3 linked regions of the Cricetulus griseus genome follow. The protein of the gene in region 3 purifies or fractionates together with the protein of the main gene of each other region. This does not show direct contact. Links are inferred from orthologs where the notes say so. Each region holds a gene or a part of one and is shown on either strand. Other genes may lie near its edges.

What was found.
Region 1: the proteins of Fbl (region 3) and Tgs1 purify together in Homo sapiens (affinity purification with mass spectrometry; 3 studies listed by BioGRID and IntAct, counting the BioPlex papers as one, with this or other methods). This does not show direct contact. The link is inferred for Cricetulus griseus from reciprocal best matches to the Homo sapiens genes FBL and TGS1.
Region 2: the proteins of Fbl (region 3) and Larp7 purify together in Homo sapiens (affinity purification with mass spectrometry; 3 studies listed by BioGRID and IntAct, counting the BioPlex papers as one, with this or other methods). This does not show direct contact. The link is inferred for Cricetulus griseus from reciprocal best matches to the Homo sapiens genes FBL and LARP7.

What each region holds. Positions count from the first base shown.
Region 1 is NC_048595.1:156,506,870-156,510,369, forward strand, and holds part of Tgs1 (trimethylguanosine synthase), read right to left. Parts: intron 820-3,500; coding exon 691-819; 3' UTR 1-690. UniProt on the Homo sapiens protein: Catalyzes the 2 serial methylation steps for the conversion of the 7-monomethylguanosine (m(7)G) caps of snRNAs and snoRNAs to a 2,2,7-trimethylguanosine (m(2,2,7)G) cap structure.
Region 2 is NW_023276806.1:31,277,390-31,280,889, reverse strand, and holds part of Larp7 (la-related protein 7), read right to left. Parts: coding exon 3,364-3,500; intron 3,281-3,363; coding exon 3,187-3,280; intron 3,110-3,186; coding exon 2,753-3,109; intron 2,673-2,752; coding exon 2,525-2,672; intron 988-2,524; coding exon 836-987; intron 157-835; coding exon 38-156; intron 1-37. UniProt on the Homo sapiens protein: RNA-binding protein that specifically binds distinct small nuclear RNA (snRNAs) and regulates their processing and function.
Region 3 is NC_048602.1:7,928,695-7,932,642, forward strand, and holds the start of Fbl (rRNA 2'-O-methyltransferase fibrillarin), read right to left. Parts: upstream 2,419-3,948; 5' UTR 2,282-2,418; coding exon 2,272-2,281; intron 1-2,271.

The DNA.
Region 1 (3,500 bases), on a different chromosome or scaffold from region 3:
ACACACACGGTAGAAGTAGAGAACAGATTTCTACAAGTTGTCCTCTAACTTCTATGCACACACATGAAATAAAAATGTAATAAAAAAGTAAAATACACTGCTAACTGTGATTATCTTTAGACAGCTGAATAAAAAATAGGTAAGATAATGGGAGAGTTTTACTTTTTTTGTTATATCATTAAATTGGTAACATTATTTCACTAGGGGTTAAATGTGTAGGCAGAATTTTTTTCTTTTTCTTTGCATTTTTAAAAAAAAACGCAATAATTATTTTACATACATACACACAAAGAGGTTAAACCAAAATACAGTTACAGTATAGAAAGAAATACACACATATATACAGACATACTTAATTTAAGTACAGTGTCATGCCTAGACTATTTCTTTGAGGCAAGGTCTCATGTAACTCAGGCTGGCCTTGAATTTATGCAGCACAGGATGACCTTGAACCTCTGAAGTACTAGGATTATAACAGGCACCTGCCACCTCCTGGCCGGATGCTTATTGTTTTAAAGTACAGAACACAAGCTCAGTTAACATTACCTAAAGATCCAAACCACTTCATTAGTATTCATTAAAACTCACAAAGGTTCCCATATCACATTGCATACAGTATCAAAGATTGTAGAAGACCTTTCTAAGCGTCTCTCATTCAAATGTCTCTAACTCCACATGATCTTGCTGTCCTCACACTTCAGCTTCAGAGGCTGGTCTTCTGATCAGGTCACCAAAATATGCTGTGATTGTCTTTAATTTGTTATTAAGAAAGTTCTGTTCTATTTCCACTTGCCCTCCAGGACCAGCCAAGGATGCCACCTGTCAGGAAGAACACAGAAGTCATACATACTTGCAGGATCTTTTTTCTTCTTTTTCTTCATTGTATCATTAAGTAGCTCTGGCTAGTCTACTTTGTTGACCAGGCTGTCATCAAACTCAGATATTCTGCCTCTGCCTCCTGAGATTAAAGGTGTTCATTGCCATGCTCAGCACAAACATGATTTTCAAAAGTTTTTATTCCCCTAACATAAACTATCTGTAAGAGAAAGACTGTCTTTTTTATGAAAGTACTTTAAATAAAGGAGCACCTCATTCACCACTGCCTGCCAGGTATGCATTAATATAGTACTCATTGTAGAAACACTTGCTTCAGACTGTCTCGATGTGAGTCAGATCACTATGCTATGCTGTTCTACAGATGCCATCTCACCAGTGCCATAATCTAAGGATTCAGAGGAAAAGAAAATGGATAAAGCCTGCACGTCATGTCAGTTTTAGCACAGACATCTAAGAACCCACTTTCCTAAGAAACTCAGCTTTAATTTTTTTCTTTGTAGGTGGAGGCCAGAGGCCAACTTGTATGGGTCACCATGTGGGTTCCAGGGATTAAACTTAGGCCATCAGGCTTGGTGGTAGGCCCTTTACATACGAGCATCATCACCTACCTACTCCTAAGATACCCAACTCCCTTTGCTCACGCTACTCTCTCCATTGCACAACAATGTTTACTGTTTTTTGAGTAGAGCCTGTACTTTTCAAATTAGCTCTTTCCTGGATCTCTATCTCTGTTCACTTCCTCTACCTGATGTTCTTTTGTGTTACTTTACATATCTCTGTGTATCTGTATAACTGATTTTTGGGGTCTACTAGAACATAGCTACTGACTCGAGGAGATAAAAGCAACCCCCTTTTCCATTAATATTAAGTTAATATTAAGGATGCTAATCAAACAATTGGGCAATAAGAATAATTACCTGCCAAGGAGCTCTTTGCTCTGCAACACTTGCACTGGTCTTTGTAACATTTCAAACCAGCAAATTAAGAACTCTAAGTTCTTTTCTTTGTTTCTTTAAACCCTGGCTGTCCTGAAAGTTACTCTGAAGACCAGGCTGGCCTCAAACTCACAAAGATCTACCTGCTTCAACCTCCTGAGTGCTGGGATTAACCCTCTTATACAGAAAAGATTTCCATCTTGCACTCCCCCTCCTACCCCTTTAAGAGATTTATTAACCGAGAAATTTCTACCTTCTAACATATAATCTTAATCATTAATCAGATTATCAGATTGGTAAAAATCAAGGAAATAGTGAATGCAGTGGAAAGGCCCAGCCAGTCAGAACAGGAGGTATGTGGTAGACAAAGGGAAGCCCCAAGTTCTGGGGGCAGGCAAACTATGCTCAGAGGTTAAGAACACTTGTTGATCTTGAGTTTGGTTCCCAGAACCCATGCTGGGGGTAGATCACAACATCTGTAACCCCAGTTCTAAGGGATCTGATGGCATCTTCTGGCCTGTGTGCCAATTGCATACACATGGCATACATTCAGACACATTAAAAACAAAACAAAAACGTCAAAAATATCCTTATTCTTCTCTACCTATCTACCCTCCTACATATAAACCAATGAAAATAAGCTACAGTGAGTCAGCACCCACCTATCCCCTGCACTACATATGGAATACAGTTTATTTTTGATGCTGAGGATTGAACCCGGGGCTTTGGATATGCTAATATCATTTACCACTTAGCTAGACTTTCAGCCTCCTATGGAATGAATTATAAAAGCTAATGGGAATCTAGATAATAAAAATAAAACAGATGCTAACAGACTATTCATCTAAAAAAGCCAAGGAGGGTGGAGTAATAGCAGAGAAGGGCCAGGAATTGCCTGATGGAAGGCTATGGGTTTATCCTATTTTTATGTATATGGGTATTTTGCTTGGATATATGTACCACATATGGACAGTGACTGTAGAGGCCAGAAGAGGGTGTCAGATCCGCAGGGACTGGAGTTACAGCTAGTTGTGAGCATGAGGGTGCTGGGAATCAAACCCTGGTCCCCTAAAAGAGCAGTCAGTGCTCTTAGTAGATGAGTGTGTCTTCAGCCTCCAGGTTTACTTTAATACAAATCCAGGGATGCTGCCCAGGGTCACCTTGTTATAAGACCAGCATAAAATTGATCCAAGTGCTTGAGTTGAACTGAAAAGTGTAACTGCTCTTATGGATTCTTGGTTACATGTTTTGTGTAGTTTTGAAAACTAAAGAACAAGGAGCTACTATGCCATGCTGACTAGGAGGCCTGCTCTCATTCTCATGCCTGGAACGTAACTAGACTCTTCATGTTAAGAGTCCATGTACAAGGATTTCACATCAAAGTGGTACCTGAAACTGCTGTATGCAGCTACCATTAGATGACTAAGATGTTCAGAGGCTTCCATCTCTACTATATAGGCTTACTTTTTAAAAGAAATTTCCAAAGCATGCTTTGTTTGCAAAGCATGGTGAATCCAAAGCTAGTGCTGCCTGGAATTCTAGACTGTCAAGGGAAAGAAGTGAAGGAAAACAGTAAGGACTAGGAACCAAACAAGATTTCAAACTGTGGTCTCTCTGAACCAAACCCATGCCTCTGGGTTTCAGAAGCAATTTCAGAGAGGCATCGATTTCCAAAGAGCCTTTCACAAAAAGATGTTTTTAATGAATCAGTTCTGGTTTTACAATGAG
Region 2 (3,500 bases), on a different chromosome or scaffold from region 3:
TCTTGTTTTGTTTTTACACAGGCATCATAAACATTACCCTGACTTGTTTCCTGCCAGGTAGAGGCTCTGTGCTCATGATCTTCACAATAACTCCATTCACGAATTGTGGGCCTTGGTTGTTAACCTTCTCCTGGGTGCAGCATTCTGGATGGCTGACTGTGAAAAGGAAAAGGCTACAGATAAAAATTTTCTCACTCCTGACCTTTAACAGAGCAGCACTAGCTACTCTACAACAGCAGGAGTGATTTCTCAGACTTTAAAGAACTTGTGTAATGTTAATATTAATGCATCAAACTGCTCATTTGGAAATTAATAGGAAATAAAATGCATTATTGCCCTGAACCAAAGAATAAAATTCAAATAAAGATAGATGTCAATAGAAATATAAGGATATTCAAAATATACTATTCAAATGTAATAATTTGGGGAATAGGGAGGAGGGACTGGGAAAGGAGAATGGAGGGGAGGCTATGGCTGGGATGTAAAATAAATAAATGAACTACAATAAATAAAAATATTTATAACTAAAAAGCCTTTACTAATGTTACAATCAATAATAATTCTCTAATATGTCCCTGTTCTGGGTTCATCTTCTACTAAAACTGCAGTCTTTATTACTATGCCCAGTCACTCATGAGTAACTTGCTGGTAATGGAGAGTAAGCAGGCTCTTAAAAAGCCTACTGTTTAATATGAACACTTCAATTTTTTTCTTTCTTTAAATTTTTTTTTTTCTGGTAATGGTTCAGTTCAAAACTGGGGAATCCAGTCTATCACTCCTACACCCAGGGTCCACAGTGTAGTATAACACTAAATGCTATGAAAGTGAGCTTCACCTTTTCCATTCTTCACTCCAGACTTGTTGGGCACTGTACAGTCGGTTTCCATTTCTGACTCCAATTTTATTTGAGATATTGTTTTTTTTAGAGAAGCCATACTGGCTTTTTGTAGTGCCAAATACTCTTTTTTCAAATCCATCCATTCAGTCCTGTAAAACAAAAAATTGAACTACTGAAATAGTGACCAGATGACTCATTGAGAAATCTGAAGGTGAATGAAATAGACGTTCATAAAAATTCCCATTTCTTTTAAAAAGGTGCACTCAATTAGTTTTTAGGCTGTAAATCTATCTAGCAAACAAACAAATGAAGTTCCTTTTCATAAATATTCAGGTAAAATGCTTTAATTTCCCAGTTAAGTTCCTGATATGTTTCTAAAATTTTTAATTGTAAAAGCAAAATAAGGCAACTTTGGGGTAAAGTGAGAAACTAAAATTCAAAGATTTGTTAAATTGCTTCCAATTTGAGAGATAACATTCCTTAGGATTTACTTGAATCAAAAGAATTTCTAAGAAGAAAAAAACACCCCATGGTAGCAATTTATTTATTTACATACATTTACCATGTAGATGTCTCTTCAAACAGCCAGGGCTCCTCCAGAGAGAAGCACAATGCATCTCCTGGCTCAGTGGGAGTGCTCATTGTTACCCTAATCTGTGCCATCAAACAAGCAGATAGGAGTTTTTTTTTTTTTTTTTTTTTTTTAAAGAGAAGGGTATCTTGTGGTAATGGTTTTAGCAGTTAACATTGACATCTGTTTACTTCAAAAAAAAAAAAAAAAAAAAATCCAGACCTACCCAGGATCCCCAGGATCTACTTTCCCTGAGAGCTGATGCTGATACATTAAAATAACAAAGGCTCTTGTAATGATTCTCTGAGATAAAGACGCCAAAAGGAATTCAGGAGTTAGGAGTAGTATAAATACAAGTGGTCTAAAGTCACTGTGTTTTACCCTCCAAGCAGAGAAGGAGATTCTTTGGGATCCAGTTCACAAAGGTAATTTGTCATTTAATTTCCTCCTAGGTTACCCTAGCTTTACAAAGAAGTTGCCTTGTGGGTGGGTTCCCTTCAACTTTAACATGGGAGTGCTTTCTGTCTCACTGTAAAAAGAGTAAGTGCTTCCAAGTTTTAGTAGAAGTGAATTCAATGTACACCTTTAGCATTGATAAGCTAACCCGTTGGGAGTCCCTTCTGCTTTAACATGGGGATACCTGCTGTGTTAAATTAAAGTAAGTGCTTCCATGTTTCAGTGGAGGTGTCTCAACCCATTCAGCATTTCCTTAATTTAAAAATGTTACATTTTAAGGACTAGAACTTAGTAAATGTAAAGACTGGGCTCCCCATTACTTAAACGTGGATGTACTTGCTTTGGGATTAAGAAAGTAAGTGCTCCCATGTTTTGGTGATGGTAAGCTTTCCTTTTCCATTCTCAAGCCTTTAAGAGGACTTAACTGATTGCTGCTTAAGGAGCCTCCTTTACTTTAACATGGAGGCACTTGCTGTGACCTTATAAAAATAAGTGCTTTCATGTTTGAGTGTGGTGGCTCCTACTTATCATCTTTATATTGCCAAAGGACCGTAGGCCGTCACTGTTGCTAATATGCAACTCTGTTAAATAGAAATTGGAATTGCACTTTAGCAATGGTGATGGAGTTCTGTCAACTGCTACTGAAAATTGGTACTTACTTGGACAGCACTCTCAACGGTATAACCTCTTCTCCCATTTTATGTCTCTCCTTGTGTTTTTTCTTATGCTTTCTTTTTACTTTTAGGAGTGAGTCACCTTTTCTATCTCCTGTCTCCTTCTCCTCCTCTGTAGAGCAGAATTCTAAGTCTAGAAAAAAGATTTGCCATAAGACAAGTTGTGTGCTTTGCGAAGTACCTAAAATGTTTGCACTGTTTTCAACATGGTACCTCTGCTTTCCTTGGAGATTTCAGAAGCGGCTTGGCTAATGCCATCTTTCTGCGCCCTCTTCTTGGCTTTTGGCCTGGGGGTCTGGCAGTCTTCATCCTCAGCACTGCTTCTTTCCCTTTTCCCTGCTCTAACTTCAGGTAAGACAGACGGCTCAGTCTTCTCCCGTTTTTTCTTCTTCTTTGCAGGTTGCTTTGGAGCTTCAGGAGTTTCTGCTTCAGAGCCCTCAGAGGCAGTCCTTGGTCTCTTGCCTTTACACACACCCATGCCGCTTGTGTCCTCCATATTTAACTCTTTGGCCTGCATACTGTCTTCCTTCTTTATTCTCCCTTTTTTCTTTTTCTTCTTCTTTTTCTCTTCTGTAACAGCAATGTTCAAATAATTTTATATTCTACCAATTCAATATTTACCTCCTAAGAATTAGGTGGGTACTCACCAGCTACTCTTAAGGAAGGGATGGGTTTGTTTTTCACTGTCTTAGGAAATATGCCAGGTTTTCTTGGTGCCTCTTCTGGTGGGTTGTTAAGAAACTGAAATGAAAATTGGAAAAATCATGGCAAACTTATTCATACTAATCTTTTTCTTTTTAATTTTCAGGGTTCTACAGACGTACCTCAATGGCTTTTGCTGCTTGTTCTTTTGTTTCAAACTCCACAAAGGCAAATCCCTTAGGATCCCCAGTAGACTTGTAATGTGGAATACTTATATAAACCACGTTGCCACATTTCCCAAATACTCTTTCAATCCAGC
Region 3 (3,948 bases):
AATCTTCCCTCTAGTAGCTTTCCAGCAGAGCGAGGTATCACCTGCCCGCAATCCCACCGCTTGGGGAGGGTGAGTTTGAGGTCAGCCTAGGCTATACAACAAGATCCCAGTTCAAAACACAAACATAAAAACAACAAATGGCCTTGTTTAAAAATGCCCACCAGATTCTACAGCACACGTCTGCTTAAAAGTCTCCCCCAGCGAACTCTTGCTCCCCAGACTGACAGCTGGGAAACCAGCATGGGACTGATCCAGACCCCAGGAACATGGGTTTCAGTGGGAGACCTCAGAAATCTACAGGACCTCCTGTGGTAGTTCAGTACTTATCCCTAGCATACGTGTGGACTTTGGGAGCCCATTCCACATAGAGGGACACTCCCTGAGCCAAGACACACTGGGGTGGGCCTAGGCCCTATCCCAAAGGATATGATAGACTCTGATGACACCCTAAGGAAGGCCTCACCATCCAGGGGGAGCAGAAAGGATATGTAATAGATAGGGTTTTAGTGGGGGGGGGGTGGCAGGGGAGGAGGGAGGGAGAAGGGAAACTGGGATTGTCATATAAAACAATCTTGTTTCTAATTCAAATTAAAAAAAACTGAAAAAAAAATCTCCCCCAGCTGGTAATGGTGGCACAGGTCTTTAATCCCAGCACTGGGGGGAGAAGAAGCAAGAGGATCTCTGAGAGTTGGAGGCCAGCCTGGTCTACAAAGCAAATTCCAGGACATCGAGGGTGGTTACACAGAGAAACCCCATCTAACTCAAAGAACCAAAAAACAACAACAAAAAAAAGCAAAAAACAAACAAAAACAACAAAAGGATTCCTCCAAAGCTGGTTCTGTCATCCAAGACAAACTGTCACCACACAACTTCTTCCATCATTTGGTAGAGAAAGGTTGGAGGGAAAAGTCCTCCTGGGGCGGGGTGGGGGGAATCACAGAGCACAGGATAGCCGTAGAACACACAGCAATCCCTCCACCCTCCTTCGCTTCGCCAGACTTCCCCAACGGGGGGGGGTGGGGGGGGGATCCCAGAAATTCTATTCAACATGCTTGGGAGGGGAAGATGGGTCACTATACCCTGCACTGGCTCTCATCCGTCTACAGGAACATGTGGGCGCACGCCAGGCAAAAACCTGCCATTAGCGAAAACTGATCCTTGGGCACCGGTGCAAAGCTCATGCTATCATTACTGTAGCACACGCTGGTGTCAAACTCCTCACCCACCTACCCCAGCTTCCCGAGTACCGGGACTGACAAGCATGGGCTGCCACAGCCCGGAGTCACACATTACCAAAACAAAACAAAAAGCCACTTAAGCATTAAGAATCTGAGAAAGAAGCCGGGCGTTGGTGGTGCGCACAACTTTAATCTCAGCACTCGGGAGGCAGAGGCAGGAGGACCTCTGTGCGTTCGAGACCAGCCTGGTCTACAAGAGCTAGTTCCAGGACAGCCTCCAAAGCCACAGGGAAACCCAATCTCGGAAAAAAACCAAATAAAAAAAAATCAGAGAAAGAAAAGAGACGCTCCTACTGTCAAAACCAGAACGCGCACCAGCGTCCACCGTGCGGTGGATTCATCCACCAGAAAAAGGGCGGGAAATAAAGGAAACATTTTTGTCCCGCCGGGCGGCGGTGGCGCCCGCCTTAAATCCCAGCAATCGGGGGAGGCAGAGGCACTGGCGGATCTCTGAGTTCGAGGCCAGCCTGGTCTCCAGAGTGAGTTCCAAGGCCAGCCAGCGTCTCCTAGCGAGACGCAGTCTCAAAAAACTCAGACCAACACCAACCGCTCTCACTTCTGATCGCCCTGCCGGCTAAGGCCAGGCTTGCAAAGCGTCTCGCGGCGCCGAGCAGGGGCTCCCGACCCCCCGATCGTCAGCTCCTCCGGGGCTAGGACCCCGCCCCTCCCGGAAGCGCAGCGGGCGAGCGAGGGAGAGAGAGGGCGAGCCGCGCACGCGATCGCCGCGCAGCACCGCCCCGGAGGTCCTCACTCGTCCCCCCTGGGGCAGCGGTGACAGCGGGAAGAGGGAAGCACGCGATCCGGAGCCGTCCCACCTACGATCCAAGCCGGGTGCCCCTCTCTCCCCCGCCCCGCCCCGGAGCCGGGGTCAGGAGGGCCGGGATGCAGCGGCGAGGCTGCAGGCCGGTCTGTGCGGTCACACTCCCCGGCTCCCGAGCAGCCCCCGGCCGCCCTCCCTCCCTCCCTCCGTCCGTCCGTCCCGCCGCGGTGCCCGGAGCCCCGCTCCAGCCCGTGCCGCCGCCGCCGCCGCTACCTGGCTTCATCGCTGCGTCCCTCCCGGCCGCGCGGCTCCCGCAATCAGCAGCGTCCCCGGACTCCACGCGTCTCCGGCGCTCGCACGTGGAGAGGAGCGCATGCGCGGGGCGACGCGCGGCGCGTGACGGCAGCGCGTGGCCCCGCCCCCGCTCCCCTCTCCCGGAAGTGCCGTGCCTTGGGCGGGAATTCTGCAATCTCTGCGGGCTTCCCTCGCCCGCCCCGCCGCGGCGGCTTTTTCGCTCTAAGAGTCAGGGGTTGGTTATACTCGAACCGTGGTTTATTTTATTTTTTTTTCTCGAAGGTTTGCTTATTATTTTTTTTTTACACTTTAGCCCCGGAGGCGTTCCGGCGGCACGCCGCGTTGTCTGTGCACCACGCGCGTGCTGTGCAGAAGAGGGAGGGCGGGAGGGCAGCGGATCCCCCCTGGAGCTGCAGTTGCAGGCGGGGGTGGGACCCGATCCTGCGTCTTCTGCAAGAGCAGCGTGTGCTCGTTTTGCAGCGAGGCCCGGGCCCGCCCGGAACTTGAAGATCTCTGGGTCTCCAGGCTGCGCATATGCGTTTCCAACCCCCTCTCCCCCCCCCCATTTGCTCCTCACTACCCCTGCTCCCTACCCCTGGCCTGTTTCTGGAAATCTTCAGTCACCCTAATGTCGCTGCAGCTGCCTCTAAATTCACTGCCCGGCTGTCAGCGTCCTGGCTACTGCTGCTTGGCCGGTGGTTCTGCCGTCTGTCCCTCTGCGCGCCATGGATCCCGCCCCCTCTATGATAAAGATCCCATCGGTGGAGCAAAGGAGTTTGCACAAGGCCCGGGGTTAGTGTTGCACCACCAGGGGGCAGCACGGGAGCCACCTGGTCTCCAGGAAAATAGTCCCAAAGAGCCACATCAGGGCTACTGAAAAGACCCCATTTGCACCAACACCAGGCTTTTTGTTGCCTTATCAGGCAAAGGGTTTACCCTTGGGCCTGGGTGAAATGGCCGCTGAGGTTTACAGAGGCTTCTGATGGCAAAAAAAAAGCCGTGTAAATAGGCAACAGTCAGGGCTAGAATAGTGCCTGCTCCAGCAGGAGTTGTCTTTCAGAATTAAGTGGTTGTAGACGTGTAGCTTCCAGGAGGTGTCTGTGGAGCATCCAGGAGCTTCCAGGTTGCTATGACAACAGGCCAGGTGGATGCCAAGAGGGGGCTGCTTGGATGGTAGTCATGACAGCCAAATGCCAGGGAAGGGCTGGATGGATGGTTGTCAGGGTCACCCTAGCCTCCAACATACTCTCTTTCCTTTTTAAAGACAAAATAAGCCTTAAAGGGAATTCTCTTTTTTTTGTTGTTGTTGTTTGTTTTGTTTTTCGAGACAGGGTTTCTCTATATAGCTTTGGAGCCAGTCCTGGCACTCGCTCCGGAGACCAGGCTGGCCTCGAACTCCCAGAGATCTGCCTGCCTCTGCCTCCTGAGTGCTGGGATTAAAGGCGTGCACCACCAACGCCCGACTTTTCAAGGGGATTCTTACCATAAAATCCTATTACAGACACTGACAGTGCTTTAACACTGTCATACAGAGGCCAGAGGAGAATGTTAGATGTCCTGCTCTGCCACTCTCTGCCTTATTCTCTTGATATAGGGTCTGAACCTGAGCTAGGCTGGTGACCAGAGGGCCCCCCAAAGCCCTGGGGTTCCAGGCAT